Sus scrofa: one gene and its partner. The protein of the gene in region 2 binds, or shares a complex with, the protein of the main gene of each other region. Links are inferred from orthologs where the notes say so. Each region holds a gene or a part of one and is shown on either strand. Other genes may lie near its edges.

Region 1 (6,458 bases), on a different chromosome or scaffold from region 2:
TTAAAGCTGAGGAAGGCGAGGCAATGCTGAGCGACGAAGCCTCTGCGACGCTGCCCTGCTCTCTGCAAGCTGGCAACCTGAGCACCAGCCTCCCGGCCTCTTTACCTCCCAGGTCTCTCTCCAGCCCCGCATCTTCTCTCCTCCCGCCCTGGCCCAGCTCTGCCAGAGGAATCATTCCAAAGCACCAAGTGACCCTGCCTCTCCCCTGCATGGCACCTGCTGTGGCTCCTCAATGCCCTTGGGAGCAGACGGACCAGCTCCTTACCATGCCCCCCAGGGCCAGCTGACCCCACAGAACTTCTCTGGCCTCATGTCACGCCACCACCCGCCCCACCCTTCTTCACCCTGCAGCCAGAGAGGAGCTTGAAAAACACAAATCTGAGCACAAGGCTCGCTCACTCAAGAACTGTCTGTAGCTCCCTATTGCCCTCAAAATAAAGCGCAAACTCCGGAGCCCAGCCCTACAAGGTCCTGCTCGTCCAAGTCCCACGGGCAACCCCACGGAGATCCCGATTCCAGCTGCCGGGGCCGGCAGAGGCAGGAAGGGGCGCTTACCCTTGGCATAGGTGCTGACTAGGGTGGCAAAGTTGGCGAGGAGCGTGAGAGGGGAGAAGTCAGCAAGGTCCGCGATCTCCAAGGTGTGCAGCAGGGAGCGCAGGCGCTCGGCGCAGAATCTGGAGGGGGGGTGGGGGGGTGGAGGATGGGGTGAGGGGCGACAGTGACCAGCTCAGGCACATCCAGCAGCCCCCTCCCCTCCAGCAGAGCACGGGCCCAGGTGCCATCTCCCCAGCTGCCCGAAGTTCCATGAGGGCGGGGCCTGGGTCTGCTTCAGTCCCCTCTGTGTCCCCCACATCCCACAGGGCCACGGCCATACGAGGGCACATTCGGAGCAATAATCACACAGCTCAGAGTCACAGGGTCACGTCACAGGGGGCCACATGCTCATGAGCAGGTTCTTGGTCAGAAGGGGCAACCCACAAGCACGCCCAGAATCCCACAGTCACTGCACGAACCCCACACGGCCACATCACCATTTGCTCCCTCCCAGGTCCTCTCTCAGTGTCTCAGCCACGCTCGCCACCCTCAGCGACACAGCGTGAGAGTCCCACACACTCGGGAGACAATCTCACACACACTCCCGGAGCTTCGCACACACTGTGTCCAGCAACAGCCCGTACACAACACAGGGCCACTCAAGGCTCTCACCCTTCAGGGAGAGGCTGTGGAGCAGCAGCACGGCTTTGGTGTCAGGCAGACAGTCAGGTTTAAAACCCGCTTCCTGAACCTCCTTTCCTTTCCTCCACGGTCGACCAGGTGCCCCTCTATGTTCCCTGGGCCCCCAGGCCTCCCCCCATCCCAGCCCTGGCACGTCCCTCTCTCACTGGACTGTGAACCCCAGGAAGGCAGGGCCAGGGCTGTCTCAGTCCCCACCGTGTCCCAGCAGATCAGGCACTCAGGACCATGCAGGCGGCGAAGCTCCCCGCAGCCCTCACAAGTCTCCCACGGCAGGGTGAAAGGTGAGGCCCCATCGAGGGCTCCCCGCCCAACCTCAGGCAGAGCAGCCAGGAACTCCGGAGCCCCACAGGCCTGGCTTCGAGTCACAGCTACCCCCACAGTGCTGTGTGGCCCTGGGCACTGGCTTCCCCTCCCTGGGACACAGTGTCCCCATCCACAGCGCGAGGCGAGGACGCTATTGAGATCCCACGGATACGGAATGTAGCTTAGCTCATTGTCAGCACTCAAGATGCTAAGTTCCTGGCGTGGCTGCTTTCTCACCTAACCAACCACCTCAGGAACCTGGGAGTAAGGGGCTGACTCCCTGCCTGGGGCACAAAGGAGGAGACCAAGGTTCAGGGAAGACCACTGACTCAGGCAGAACAGCAAAGGAAAAGCCCAGGAAGCCCCACCCCCACTCCCGGGTCCATGCACCACCTCCCTGACCACTGAGGGGAGGCTCCTGCCCCCGGGGCTTGGGGGACAGTGGGAGGCGACAGGGGTCTGGGGGGCAGGATCCACAGCATTTTCTGCCAGCTCCCACCCTGCTGGGCCCATCAGAAGCCGCTCTCCAGGGCTACTCCCTCCCCTCCCCGTGTGGCCTGGGGTGGGATGAGTTTCCGCAAAGGTGCAGGGGCCTGGTCACCCCACCAGCTCCTCCATCCTGCACGGCCCCCGGGACCCCCGTGAACAGTCCACCAAACTCTCCTCTGCCTCTCATCTGCTGCCCGCCAAGCCCCTGCTGGCCCCAGAGCCCCCGACCTGCCCCCTCCGCCCCACGGGTGTGACACGCACTCCCCCAGGCTTCCATTAGTCCCCATACCGGCCCCGGGCCCACCCCCACCCTGCTGGACGAACCTGAGGGGCTTGCGCTGGATGCAGACGCGCTGGGCCAGGCCGCTGAGGAAGGCGGGCGGGCTCTCCTGCACCACGTGCTGCACCCGCAGCCGCCACTTGACGTACTCCAGCAGCCGCCGCAGGAAGCCCAGGAAGTGCTCGGCCGTGCGGATGGAGCCCGGCACCGCCTCTGCGGGGACACGGGCTCAGCCGGGTCGGTGGCGGGGAGGGGGGGTGCCAGGGGCCCAGCGGGGCGGGCGCGGGCACAGAGGCGGGGGGCTCACCCTGCAGCACCTCGTCGGGCAGCACGGGGTTGGCCAGGTGGGCGTCGGTCTCCCGGGCGGCGCTGGCCTCCCGCAGCCCCTCCACCAGGCGCCGGTACTCGTCCCGCAGACGCTGCTCGTCAGTCTCCTTGATCCTGCGGGGAGCCGGGGGATGGGAAGGGCTGGGGACACGCCGGGGACGGGGACCGGGGTCCTGGGGTGGGGGGCAGGGCAGGCAGAGAACCGGGCCTGGGAAAGGCCGGCGCCCCGCACCTGAGCACCGTCTTCTGCAGGGTCTCCAGGTTGCCCTGGCACCGATCCAGCATCCGGCGCGTGAGGTTGACACTCATGGAGTCGATGCAGACGTTGTCTGGAAGAGGAAGGAGGGGACGCCGGGCTCAGGCAGGCAGCTGGGGCGGCAGCCCAAGGGGCTGGCATGGCCTCCCAGCCCTGGCTCCCTCCTCACCAATGTTGTGGGCCTCGTCGAAGACGACGACAGCCTTGCGGGCCAGCTCCTTGGACACCAGGTCGGCGATCTTGGGGTCCAGCAGGTAGTGGTAGCTGTAAACCACCACGTTGGCGTGGAGGATCTGGGGGCCGGGAGTGCAGGGTTACCCCGGCCACCAGCGCCCACCTCGTGCTACTGCCCCCCGCCCACAGCACACGGCCCCAGTGCTGCCTGACAGGCCCGCAGAGACGAGGTGCAGAAAGGGGCTCAGGCAGACAGACAGACAGACACAGATGGGCAGGCAGAAGCGAACTGAGGAAAGACAGACACAGGCAAGGCACACACACTCAGAGAGACTGACTGACAAAGGGACAGACCGACAGGGGGACACAGGCAGAGGGACAGGTGGGTGGGAAGGCGTAACCCGCACGCACGCCCCCCCTGCGCAAGCCCTGCCAGCCTCCTCACCGAGTACCGGGCAAGGAAGTACGGGCACCAGCCCTGGCGCCGCCCCAGCGCCTTCAGGTCGTCCAGGTTGTAGATGCCAGCCGGCAGGGGCACCTGGCGCCCATGGACATCAAACTCCTAGGGTGACAGGGCACACAGGAGTCAGGGAGGTTGGCCGTGGTGAGTGGTCCCCGCCTCCCTCCCTCAGCGCTGCCCCGCAGGCACCTCATAGAAGCGGCAGTGAGGCAGGCTGGGGTCCTGCTGGTACTGCGCCCGCACGTAGGAGGCCGTGAGGCTGTGGCATTTTCCATCGACGTCCTTCCCAAAGCGCAGGGGTGTCACCTGAGGGGCCAAGAGGGCATCTTAGCACTGGGACAGGCCAAGGAGCCCAACCACTCCTGGAACCTGGGGCTCAACACCTAATGGCTAAGGCGGGATGGGGCCATCTGGCTGTCCTGTCCCGGGTGACACTGGGGCATCCGTGGAAACTGGAACCTCAACCTGCTTCCCTAGTAAACAGTTAAGACACCTGGAAACTTACTACAGGGAAGCAAGAGTTGGTACAATTGTTAGGCTCTTAAATTATTCTTTTTAAAACAGTAAGTCCAGAATTCCCATTGTGGGTGTTAAGAACCCGACTAGTATCCATGAGGATGTGGGTTCAATCCCTGGCCTCGCTCAGTGGGTTAAGAATCCAGTGTTGCAGTATAGATTGCAGATTCAGCTCGGATCTGGCATTGCTGTGGCTGTGGCACAGGGTAGCGGCTGCAGCTCCAATTCAACCCCTAGCCAGGAATGTATGCCACAGGTGTGGTCCTAAAAAGCAAACAAAAACAGTATGTCTTAGGGAGCTCCCTCGTGGTCTAGTGGTTAGGGTTTGGTGCTTTCACTGCAGCCTGGGTTCAATACCTGGTCTGGGAACTAAGATCCCTCATCAAGCTGCTCCACACAATGATCAAAAAAAAAAAAAAAAAAAAAAAAGTTAAGTCACATATGGTGTCAATTATATCTGAATTTTTTTTTCTTAATTACACCTTGAAGATTCTTTAGCAGGTAAATTACAGATAACTGCTTTATCTTTTTTCTTTTTAGGGCTGTACCCAAGGCACATGGAAGCTCCAAGGCTGGGGTCAAAGTGGAACTGTAGCTGCTGGTCTACACCACAGCCACAGCAACACAGGATCCGAGCTGTACCTTCGAACTACACCACAGCTGATGGCAATGCTGGATCCTTAACCCACTGAGCGGGGCCAGGGATCGAACCCACATCCTCATGGATACTAGTCGGGATTATTACTGTTGCACCACTATGGGAATTTCTGCTTTATCTTTTAAAATGCTAAAACAGCCAGAACCTTAGCAAGGTCCAAGAATCAGAGGAAGCTGCTCTCCCCTGCAAGGCTCTGCTGGTAGCACCGTCACAGCCCAGGGCTGCCTTTCCTCAGAACCAAATCTTTTTCCTCACCAAAGGGAAGGCTCTGAGGCTGGCAACACCTCCCTCTCCTTTTCCCATTTCATCAGGCGCCAAGGAACATTCCTCATTTTTTAACATGCCTTTACACTTTTTAAAAAACAGGTCATGCAAATACATCGTACGAGGTATACAAAGTTAAAAGTGTCATAGAGTTGCTAGCGGGTTATGGATCTGGTGTTGTCACTGCAGTGGCATGGGTTTGACCCCTGGCCTGAGAACTTCTGCATGCCCTGGGTATGGGGAGTGGGGGGGAAAGCATCACATATGTTCCCACAGAAAAGTATTTTAAAACCCTGAAAATTTTAGCTGCGTGTGAAGCAGAGCCCCAAAGGCAGATCTATTTTGAAGAGCTAAATCCAAGCGAAGACTACCAGGCATATGCTTTTAAGTCCTTCCAAAGCAGCAGCCATGGGAGGATCAAAACCCAGATCGAAATACCTGCTCAATCTTTAGCATTATCCAAGGTCACTGTACATCTCGGGAGACGACTAAGATCCTGCCCTGAAGCACAGCTCATGCGGTTCAATATGTATACACGCTGTACGCTATATGCATACATATGATACCAACACAGCAATTAACAGTACTATATTAACATATTAATATAACACTATTGATTATTAACATATATTAACATAGTATTGCTTATGCACTTTTTCCCCCCACGGCATGCAGAAGTTCTTGGGTCAGAGATCAAACCCAATCCACAGCAGGGACCTGAGCTACAGCAGTGACAATGCCAGGTCCTTAACTGCTAGGCCACCTGGGAACTCCTGCTTATACACGTCTTATCACAGGTCCAGAAGATACAATCCACTTCCTTAATCCTCTACTTCTTATTTTCCTAAGGAGGACAGTGTCGACCACCACGTGAGCAGGTTCTGGACACACACATACATCCACTTCCTACATTTAAAGCCATTAATTTCAACTTCGGTTTATTTTTTATTTTTGATTTTACTAATATTGAGAAACTCCACTAAACTGTTATCACTAGTTATGGTGAAACTAAAAAATGTTAGGTTATGTGCTTCCCATCATGAAAGTGTCTTGTTGCCATTTTCAGGGACCTTAAAGACATCCCCGTCTTGAAGGCTCGTGACACGGCTCTCCTATTGCCGGCATTTACTAAATTTCTGCAGAAACACATTCAGGTAAGCAGATTCATTGACCAGCTTAACTTCAGTTTAAAGGAAAGGATCTTGGGGAGTTCTGTAACAAACCAGAGTGGCATCATGAGGACGCGGGGTCAATCCCTGGCCTCGCTCAGTGGGTTAGGGATCTGGCGTTGCCGTGGGCTGTGGTGTAGGTCGCAGCTGCAGTGGATCTAGCATGCTTTAGATATGGCCAGAAAGTAAAATAAAAAGATCTTGAAATTTTGCTCCAGGGTCTGTGGCAGCTTTCCTCTATCCCAATCCTCCTGCCATCAGATCAAAGGCTGACCACAGTTACGCTCCTCAACTCCATGTAGCAACAGCGGGACGGCGCAAAGTGG
Region 2 (7,136 bases):
GGTTGCTGCACCTCTCTTCCTTCTATGTTTCCTCCCCTCCTCCCAGAAGGCAAAGCTCAGGCCCGGCCTCAGACCTGCTAAGTGACGTCATCCAGCTGCCAGCTCCAGTATCCACCATGTGCCCACAACCCCCACATTTGTCTCCACTCCAAGCTCACACTGAATTCCAGGCTCATGTCCCACTGAACTACCCGTTTCTCTCCTTAGGGCCCATGGGAGCCCCAAGCTTACACCTACGCCTCCCCACCGCAGTCCCTTTTTCCCTCCTCTGTTCCCCTCTGTGTCTCTCATCTCCACATCCCATCCATCTGCAGATCTGTGAGTGCTGCCTGGACCTGCCCTCCCCTGCCCCTCCCTGGTCTCCTTGTATCTGCTCTGCTGAGATGCTGAAAATGGCTGCAAACCCAAACTTTTCAACCCAACAAACACGGCCTCCCAGGATCTGCCCCATGTCACCCTCTGACTTCCTCTTCTCCCTGTCCCCCGGCATAGGCATCCTTGCTGCCAACACACCAGCCAAAGTCCAGCCTCAGGGCCCTTGCACACACTGTACCCTCTGCTTGACACACCTTCCTCCAGACATGCCCACAGCTCCCTCCCTCTCCTGCTTTGGGCTTTTACATGAAACTTCCTTGACCACATTTGAGACTTCAAACCTACCTTCTCCTTCAGCCCACTCTCTTGTCCCCTTTTTTCATTTACTTGTGTTCACTTTTTTTTTTTTTTTTTTTTTTTTTTTTTTTTTTTTTTTTTTTGGCCCGCCCATGGCACATGGAAGTTCCTGGGCTAGGGATCAAATCCATGCCAAAGCAATAACCCAAGCTACTTCAGTGACAACACCAGGTCATTAACCTACTGGGCCACACGAGAACTCCTATGTTCACTTTATGTCCTGTGTCTCCCTGGTATGTAAAGATGCTTGCCTGTTTTGTTCCACATCCCTGTGGGTGCTCATAAAATATTGAATCATTAGGAGTTCCCATTGTGGTGCAGCAGAAACAAATCCGACTAGGAACCATGAGGTTGAGGGTTTGATCCTTGGCCTTGTTCAGTGGGTTGAGGATCCAGCATTGCCGGGAGTTGTGGTGGGGGTCGCAGACACGGCTCAGATTCTGGTGTTGCTGTAGCTCTGGCGTAGGCAGTGGCTACAGCTCTGATTAGACCCCTAGCCTGGGAATCTCCATATGCTGCAGGTGCAGCCCTAAAAAAAAGACAAAAGACAAATAAATAAATAAATATTGAATCATTGAATAAATGTATTACCGAGTGAGAAGTTACTGATGGCCTCCACTGACACAGGGGCACTGGGCTGGGCAAACCTCCTGTATGAACCGGGGTGGTGTATGTGTGTGTGTGGGCAGATGTGGAGGTTGTAAAAACATGCACAATCTTGGGGGCTGTGGGGTATCCAGGGGCTGGGGTGGGCCTCAGGGGACTAGGAAAACAGAGATGAGTGCATTTCATAAGCAGTGGGAGCTATGCCAAGCTCCTCCCAAGCTAACAATCCCTTTAGGTCCTCAGCTAATCCTCTAAGACGGGGACACTTTATTATTTCCACTGTACAAAGTGGATAACTGAGGATCTAGGGCATTAAGTTGGACATGGCCCTGAGTCAACTGAGAAAACTCCCTGCAGTTGATCACACAAACACCTACGAACCATCTCTTAGTAAGTACGAACATCCTGGGAACCGAGCGTACCCAAGACCCTGTCAAGGCCTCAGTCTCCCCTTGCTTCTGCCTACCTGAATTTTTTTTTTTTTTTTTGCTGCACCCCCTCAGCATATGAAAGTTCCCAGGCCAGGGACTGAATCCAAGCCGCAAGAGTGATCTGTGCTACAGCTGTGGCAACGCTGGATCCTTAACCCACTGGGCCTGGGATCGAACCCGCGCCTCCGCAGCGAGCGACCCCAGTCACTGCAGGGACAACGACGGATCCTTAGTTCGCTGCCCCACAGCTGGAACTCCTGCCTCGCTGGATTTTTTTTTTCCCCTTAATTTTTTTTTATTACTCAAATGAATTTATCACATCTGTAGTTGTATAATGATCATAACAATCTGATTTCACAGGATTTCCATCCCACAGCCCAATTACATCCCCCCACCCCCTAAACTGTCTCCTCTGGAGACCATAAGTTTTTCAATGTCTGTGAGTCAGCATCTGTTCTGCAAAGAAGTTCAGTCTGTCCTTTTTTCAGATTCCACATGTCAGTGAAAGCATTTGATGTTGGTGTCTCATTGTATGGCTGACTTCACTTAGCATGATAGTTTCTACGTCCATCCATGTTGCTAAGAATCTGCCTCGCTGGATTCTAAACGTCCTCCCTAGGCGGGCGTTGAGCAGAAACTACGCCTCCAGAGAGGCCTTGCATTCAAAACCACGCGAGATCTACCGAGGAGCGGGTGAGTGGTGTTTGCCCTCTTTTCGCGCAGCCAACCGCCGCTTTAGTAAGGCTCGGGCTGCCCTTGGCTCTGCCCCTCCCAAAGGTCGCTGCATTCAGGCTTTAGCTGACTACAGCCCTGTAAGGGTTGGGCGAGGTGGAGGGGGCCTGACAGCGGCGCGGCGCAGGCGCAGTGGGCACGGGTCTTGCCGAGCGCAGGCGCTGTAAGTTCGAGGGGGGCGGCAGCCATGGACGACGAGGAGGAGACATACCGGCTCTGGAAGATCCGTAAGACCATCATGCAGGTGAGACGCGCGGGGGCTGCCCTTAGTACTAAGCGAACGCTGTCCGGCGCGCGGACGGCCAGCGCGAGGCCCGAAGATGGGAACGAGCTTTTCTATGTCTGGCCGCGCGGCTCAGGGGAAGGTTCTGGCCCAGGTGGGGCCCGTATTGGGCCGGGGACAGAGGGGCCCCGCCGACCACTGCTGAGTGGCGAGTCCGAGAGACGCCGGGGAGAGGGTCAGGGTTTCGCTGGAGCTGGAGGGAGGGAATTGGCCTCGCGTGTTCCTCTTTCCGGAAAGTTATGGCACTGTTTTGAGGGCCTGATACAGTATTCCAGGATTGTGGATATGGAAGGATCCCTGGTTAGCTGGTCTCAATGCTGTCTGGTTGCCCTGACAGCGCGCCCTGGCCACCAACTTTGAGCTACTCGGGCTGATAGGCTCCAAGTCATGCCAGCTCCCTAGCTAAGCGTTCTCTGTGTGCCACGTGCTTTAGGCTACTCCACGGGAGGGGGCGATTGTGATCCCACGGAGGCTTCGGGCCTTGACTAAGACCACCCACCCTCGCCACGGCGGGGATCCTGCCTGGACTAAGCTGGGGCAGTGGCACCCATATTCTCCACCTCCTTGCAGTGCTACCCAAAGACAGGGTAGGAACAGCGTTGCTTCAGGCTGACCGTGTCGCGGGCCCTGGGTGAGAAGAGTGAGCGCTCAAGAGGGAGAGTCCGGGAGTTCCTGTTGTGGCTCAGTGGTTAACAAATCCAACTAGGAACCATGAGGTTGCGGGTTCGATCCCTGGCCTTGCTCAGTGGGTTAAGGATCCGGCGTTGCAGTGAGCTGTGGTGTAGGTCACAGACTTGGCTGGAATCCTGCGTTGCTGTGGCTCTGGTGTAGGCTGGTGGCTACAGCTCGGTTTAGACTCCTAGCCTGGGAACCTCCATATGCCGTGGGAGCGGCCCAAGAAATGGCAAAAAGGGAGGAAAAAAAAAAAAAGAGGGAGAGTCCAGCTGTGGGGTACTTGGCTGAAGAAAGGGGATTCCGGCAGAGTGGGTGGCTTTCTCTTTGTCTGGGTGGTCATCCGGTCTGTCCACTCAAAGAATCCCAGTTTCTGAGTCAGGACCTAGATCTGCTGGCCCCCAGGCCTTGGCCTGGTTTTCCAATAGCCTTCTGCCCCAGGCAGCCCAGCAGCACCTCTCCCAGACAGCTGTCCTTTTCTGCCCCAGACCCAAGGGCCTGGCCTTGGAATCAACAGCCCTCCTCACATCCCAGCCCTGCTCCCATCTTCCCTGCAGTGGCCTTGAGCACCCTGAGCCTTTGCTGTTCTCTCTGCACCTTGGTCACCTGATTCTTTTTCTCTGCAGCTTTGCCACGACCGTGGCTACCTGGTGACCCAGGACGAGCTGGACCAGACGCTGGAGGAGTTCAAGGCCCAGTTTGGGGACAAGCCCAGTGAAGGGCGGCCGCGTCGCACAGACCTCACGGTGCTGGTGGCCCATAATGACGACCCCACCGACCAGATGTTCGTCTTCTTCCCAGGTGAGGGCCTGCTCAGGGCAGCAGCAGCCACCTGCCCTGACACGCAGTCTGTACCCCTCATCCTTCTGCCTCTCTGCTGTATGTAGTGCCTCCACTGAGGCAGCCTGGCTCTCAACCCCAAAGGTAGGGGACCATGCTGGGTCACAAGCACCTTGGGGGCCCACCCTGGTGTGCCTCCAGGCAAGGGAGAGTGCAGAAAATGCCTGCTGAGCAGACCCAGAGGGCACTTTTAAGATTTACTTTATTGAATTATGTTTTACAATGTTATGTTCTTTTCTGGTGTATCGTAAAGCGATTCAGTTACATGCACATAATTATTCTTTTTCAAATTCTTTTCCGTTATGGTTTATTATAGGATATTGAATATAGTTTTCTGTGCTGTACAGTAGGACCTTGTTGTATATCCACCGTATGCATATAAGAGTTTGCATCTGAGAGTTCTCTTTGTGGCTCAGTGGTTAATGAACCCGACTAGGATCCATGAAAGAAAAAAAAAGAGTTTGTGCTTGCTAATCCCAAAATCCCTCAGTCCCCTCCCCGTTGGCAACCACAAATCTGTTTTCTATGTGTCTTTCTGTTTCACAGCTCATTTGTGTTATGTCTTATCTTCCACATATAAGTGATACCATGTAGTATTTGTGTTACTTCATTTAGGTTACTTAATATGATAATCTCTGGGTCCATCCATGTTACTGCAAATGACATTATTTCTTTTTGCTTTTTTAGGGCCCCGCCCGCGGTTTATGGAGAGTCCCAGGCTAGGGGTTGAGTGAGAGCTATGCCACAGCCACAGCAGTGCAGGGTCTGAGCTGAATCTTGTGATCTACACCACAGCTCACGGCAATGCCAGATCCTTAACCTACTGAACAAGGCTAGGGATCAAACCTGTGTCCTCAAGGATACTAGTCAGGTTCGTTAACCTCTGAGCCTCGACGGGAACTCCGATATATGTGTTCTTATTGCCATTTTATTAACTGTTTTGGGCTTGGGTTTTTTGTCTTTTTTCTTACCTTCTCTTGTGGCTTGATAACTCTTTTTTTTTTTTTTTTTTTTTTGTCTTTTTGCCATTTTTTTGGGCTGTTCCCACGGCATATGGAGGTTCCCAGGCTAGGGGTCTAATAAGAGCTATAGCCACCTTCTCCACCAGAGCCACAGCAACGGGGGATCCGAGCCGCGTCTGCAACCTACACCACAGCTCACAGCAATGCCGGATCCTTAACCCACTAAGCAAGGCCAGGGATCGAACCCGTAACCTCATGGTTCCTTGTCATATTCGTTAACCACTGAGCCACGACAGGAGCTCTGATGACTATCTTTAGTGTTGTGTTTGGACTCCTTTTTCTTATAAGTATCTATTGTAGAATTTTGGTTTGCAGTTACCATGAAATTTTGATATAAGAGTCTATGTATAAAAGATTGTTTTAAGTTGTTGGACCCATAATTGCAAGTGCATCTCCAATATCTTGCATTTGTACCCTCCTCTTCCCACAGTTTCTGATTTTGGAAGCATATTTGTGTGTGGATAATTTCCTACCCTTACTGTATGTATGCCATTACCGGTGAGCCTTGTCATTTGTGATATTTTTGTTTCTGGTTGCGGCCTTTTCTTTTCCACCTAGAGAAGTTTCTTTTTTTTTTTCCCCCTTTCCTAGGGCTGCTTCTCATGGCATATGGAGGTTCCCAGGCTAAGGGTCTAATAGGAGCTGTAGCCGCCGGCCTACACCAGAACCACAGCAAGGTGGGATCCGAGCCTCGTCTGCGACCTACACCACAGCTCACGGCAATGCCGGATCCTTAACCCACTGAGCAAGGCCAGGGATCGAACTCACAAGCTGCAACCTCATGGTTCCTAGTCGGATTCATTAACCACTGTGCCACGACGGGAACTCTAAGAAGTTTCTTTAGTATTTTTTGTAAAACTGGTTTAGTGGTGCTGAATTCTTTTAGGTTTTGCTTGTCTATAAAGCTTCTTCAAATCTGAATGAGAGCCTTGCTGGGTAGAGTTATCTTGGTTGGAGATTTTTTCCTTTCATTGCTTTAAGTATATTGTGCCATTCCCTTGGGGCCTATAGAGTTTCTGCTGAAAAATCTGCCCATAACCTTATCAGGGTTCCCTCGTGTGTTGTTTGTATCTTTGCCCTAGCTGCTATCAGTATTTTCTCTTTGTCTTTAATTTTGGTCAGTTTGATAAATATGTGTCTTAGTGTGTTCCTCCTTGGGTTTGTTTATGCTATTTATTTATTTGCTTTTTTAGAGCCACACCTGCAGTGTGGAAGTTCCCAGGCTAGGGGTCAAATCAGAGCTGCAGCTGCCTGCCTACGCCACAACCACAGCAACATGGGATCCAAGCTACATCTGCAGCCTGCACCACAGCTCACAGCAACACCAGATTCTTTTTTTTTTTTTTTTTTTGTCTTTTTGCCTTTTCTAGGGCCGCTCCCGCAGCATATGGAGGTTCCCAGGCTAGCTACACCACAGCTCACAGCAATGCTGGATCCTTAACCCACTGAGCAAGGCCAGGGATCGAACCTGCAACCTCATGGTTCCTAGTCGGATTTGTTATCCACTGTGCCACGACGGGAACTCCCAGCAACACCAGATTCTTAGCCCACTGAGTGAGGCCAGGGATCGAACCCGCATCCTCATGGATACTAGTCAGGTTCATTTCTGCTGAGCCACAATGGGAACTCTGGGTTTATTTTATATGATACTTACTGTGCTTTCTGGATTTGAGTGATTCCTTTCCCATGTTTGGGATGTTTTTGGCTGTTACCTTACTACATATTTTCTTTTTCTTCTTCTTTTTTTTTGCTTTTCTGGCCTGCACCTGCAGCATATGGAAGTTCCCAGGTTGGGGGTGAGTCAGAGCTGCAGCTGCTGGCCTACGCCACAGCAACATGGGATTCAAGCCACATTTGCAACCTACACCACAGCTAATG

What was found.
Region 1: POLR2E (region 2) and ERCC2 share a complex: the UniProt entries of both Homo sapiens proteins name them as parts of the TBP-based Pol II pre-initiation complex. The link is inferred for Sus scrofa from reciprocal best matches to the Homo sapiens genes POLR2E and ERCC2.

Annotation. Positions count from the first base shown.
Region 1 is NC_010448.4:51,742,707-51,749,164, forward strand, and holds part of ERCC2 (TFIIH basal transcription factor complex helicase XPD subunit), read right to left. Parts: intron 3,832-6,458; coding exon 3,715-3,831; intron 3,628-3,714; coding exon 3,511-3,627; intron 3,185-3,510; coding exon 3,061-3,184; intron 2,965-3,060; coding exon 2,868-2,964; intron 2,750-2,867; coding exon 2,616-2,749; intron 2,522-2,615; coding exon 2,353-2,521; intron 675-2,352; coding exon 556-674; intron 1-555. UniProt on the Homo sapiens protein: ATP-dependent 5'-3' DNA helicase. Component of the general transcription and DNA repair factor IIH (TFIIH) core complex, not absolutely essential for minimal transcription in vitro.
Region 2 is NC_010444.4:77,328,258-77,335,393, forward strand, and holds the start of POLR2E (DNA-directed RNA polymerases I, II, and III subunit RPABC1), read left to right. Parts: upstream 1-2,497; 5' UTR 2,498-2,628; coding exon 2,629-2,685; intron 2,686-4,022; coding exon 4,023-4,197; intron 4,198-7,136. UniProt on the Homo sapiens protein: DNA-dependent RNA polymerase catalyzes the transcription of DNA into RNA using the four ribonucleoside triphosphates as substrates.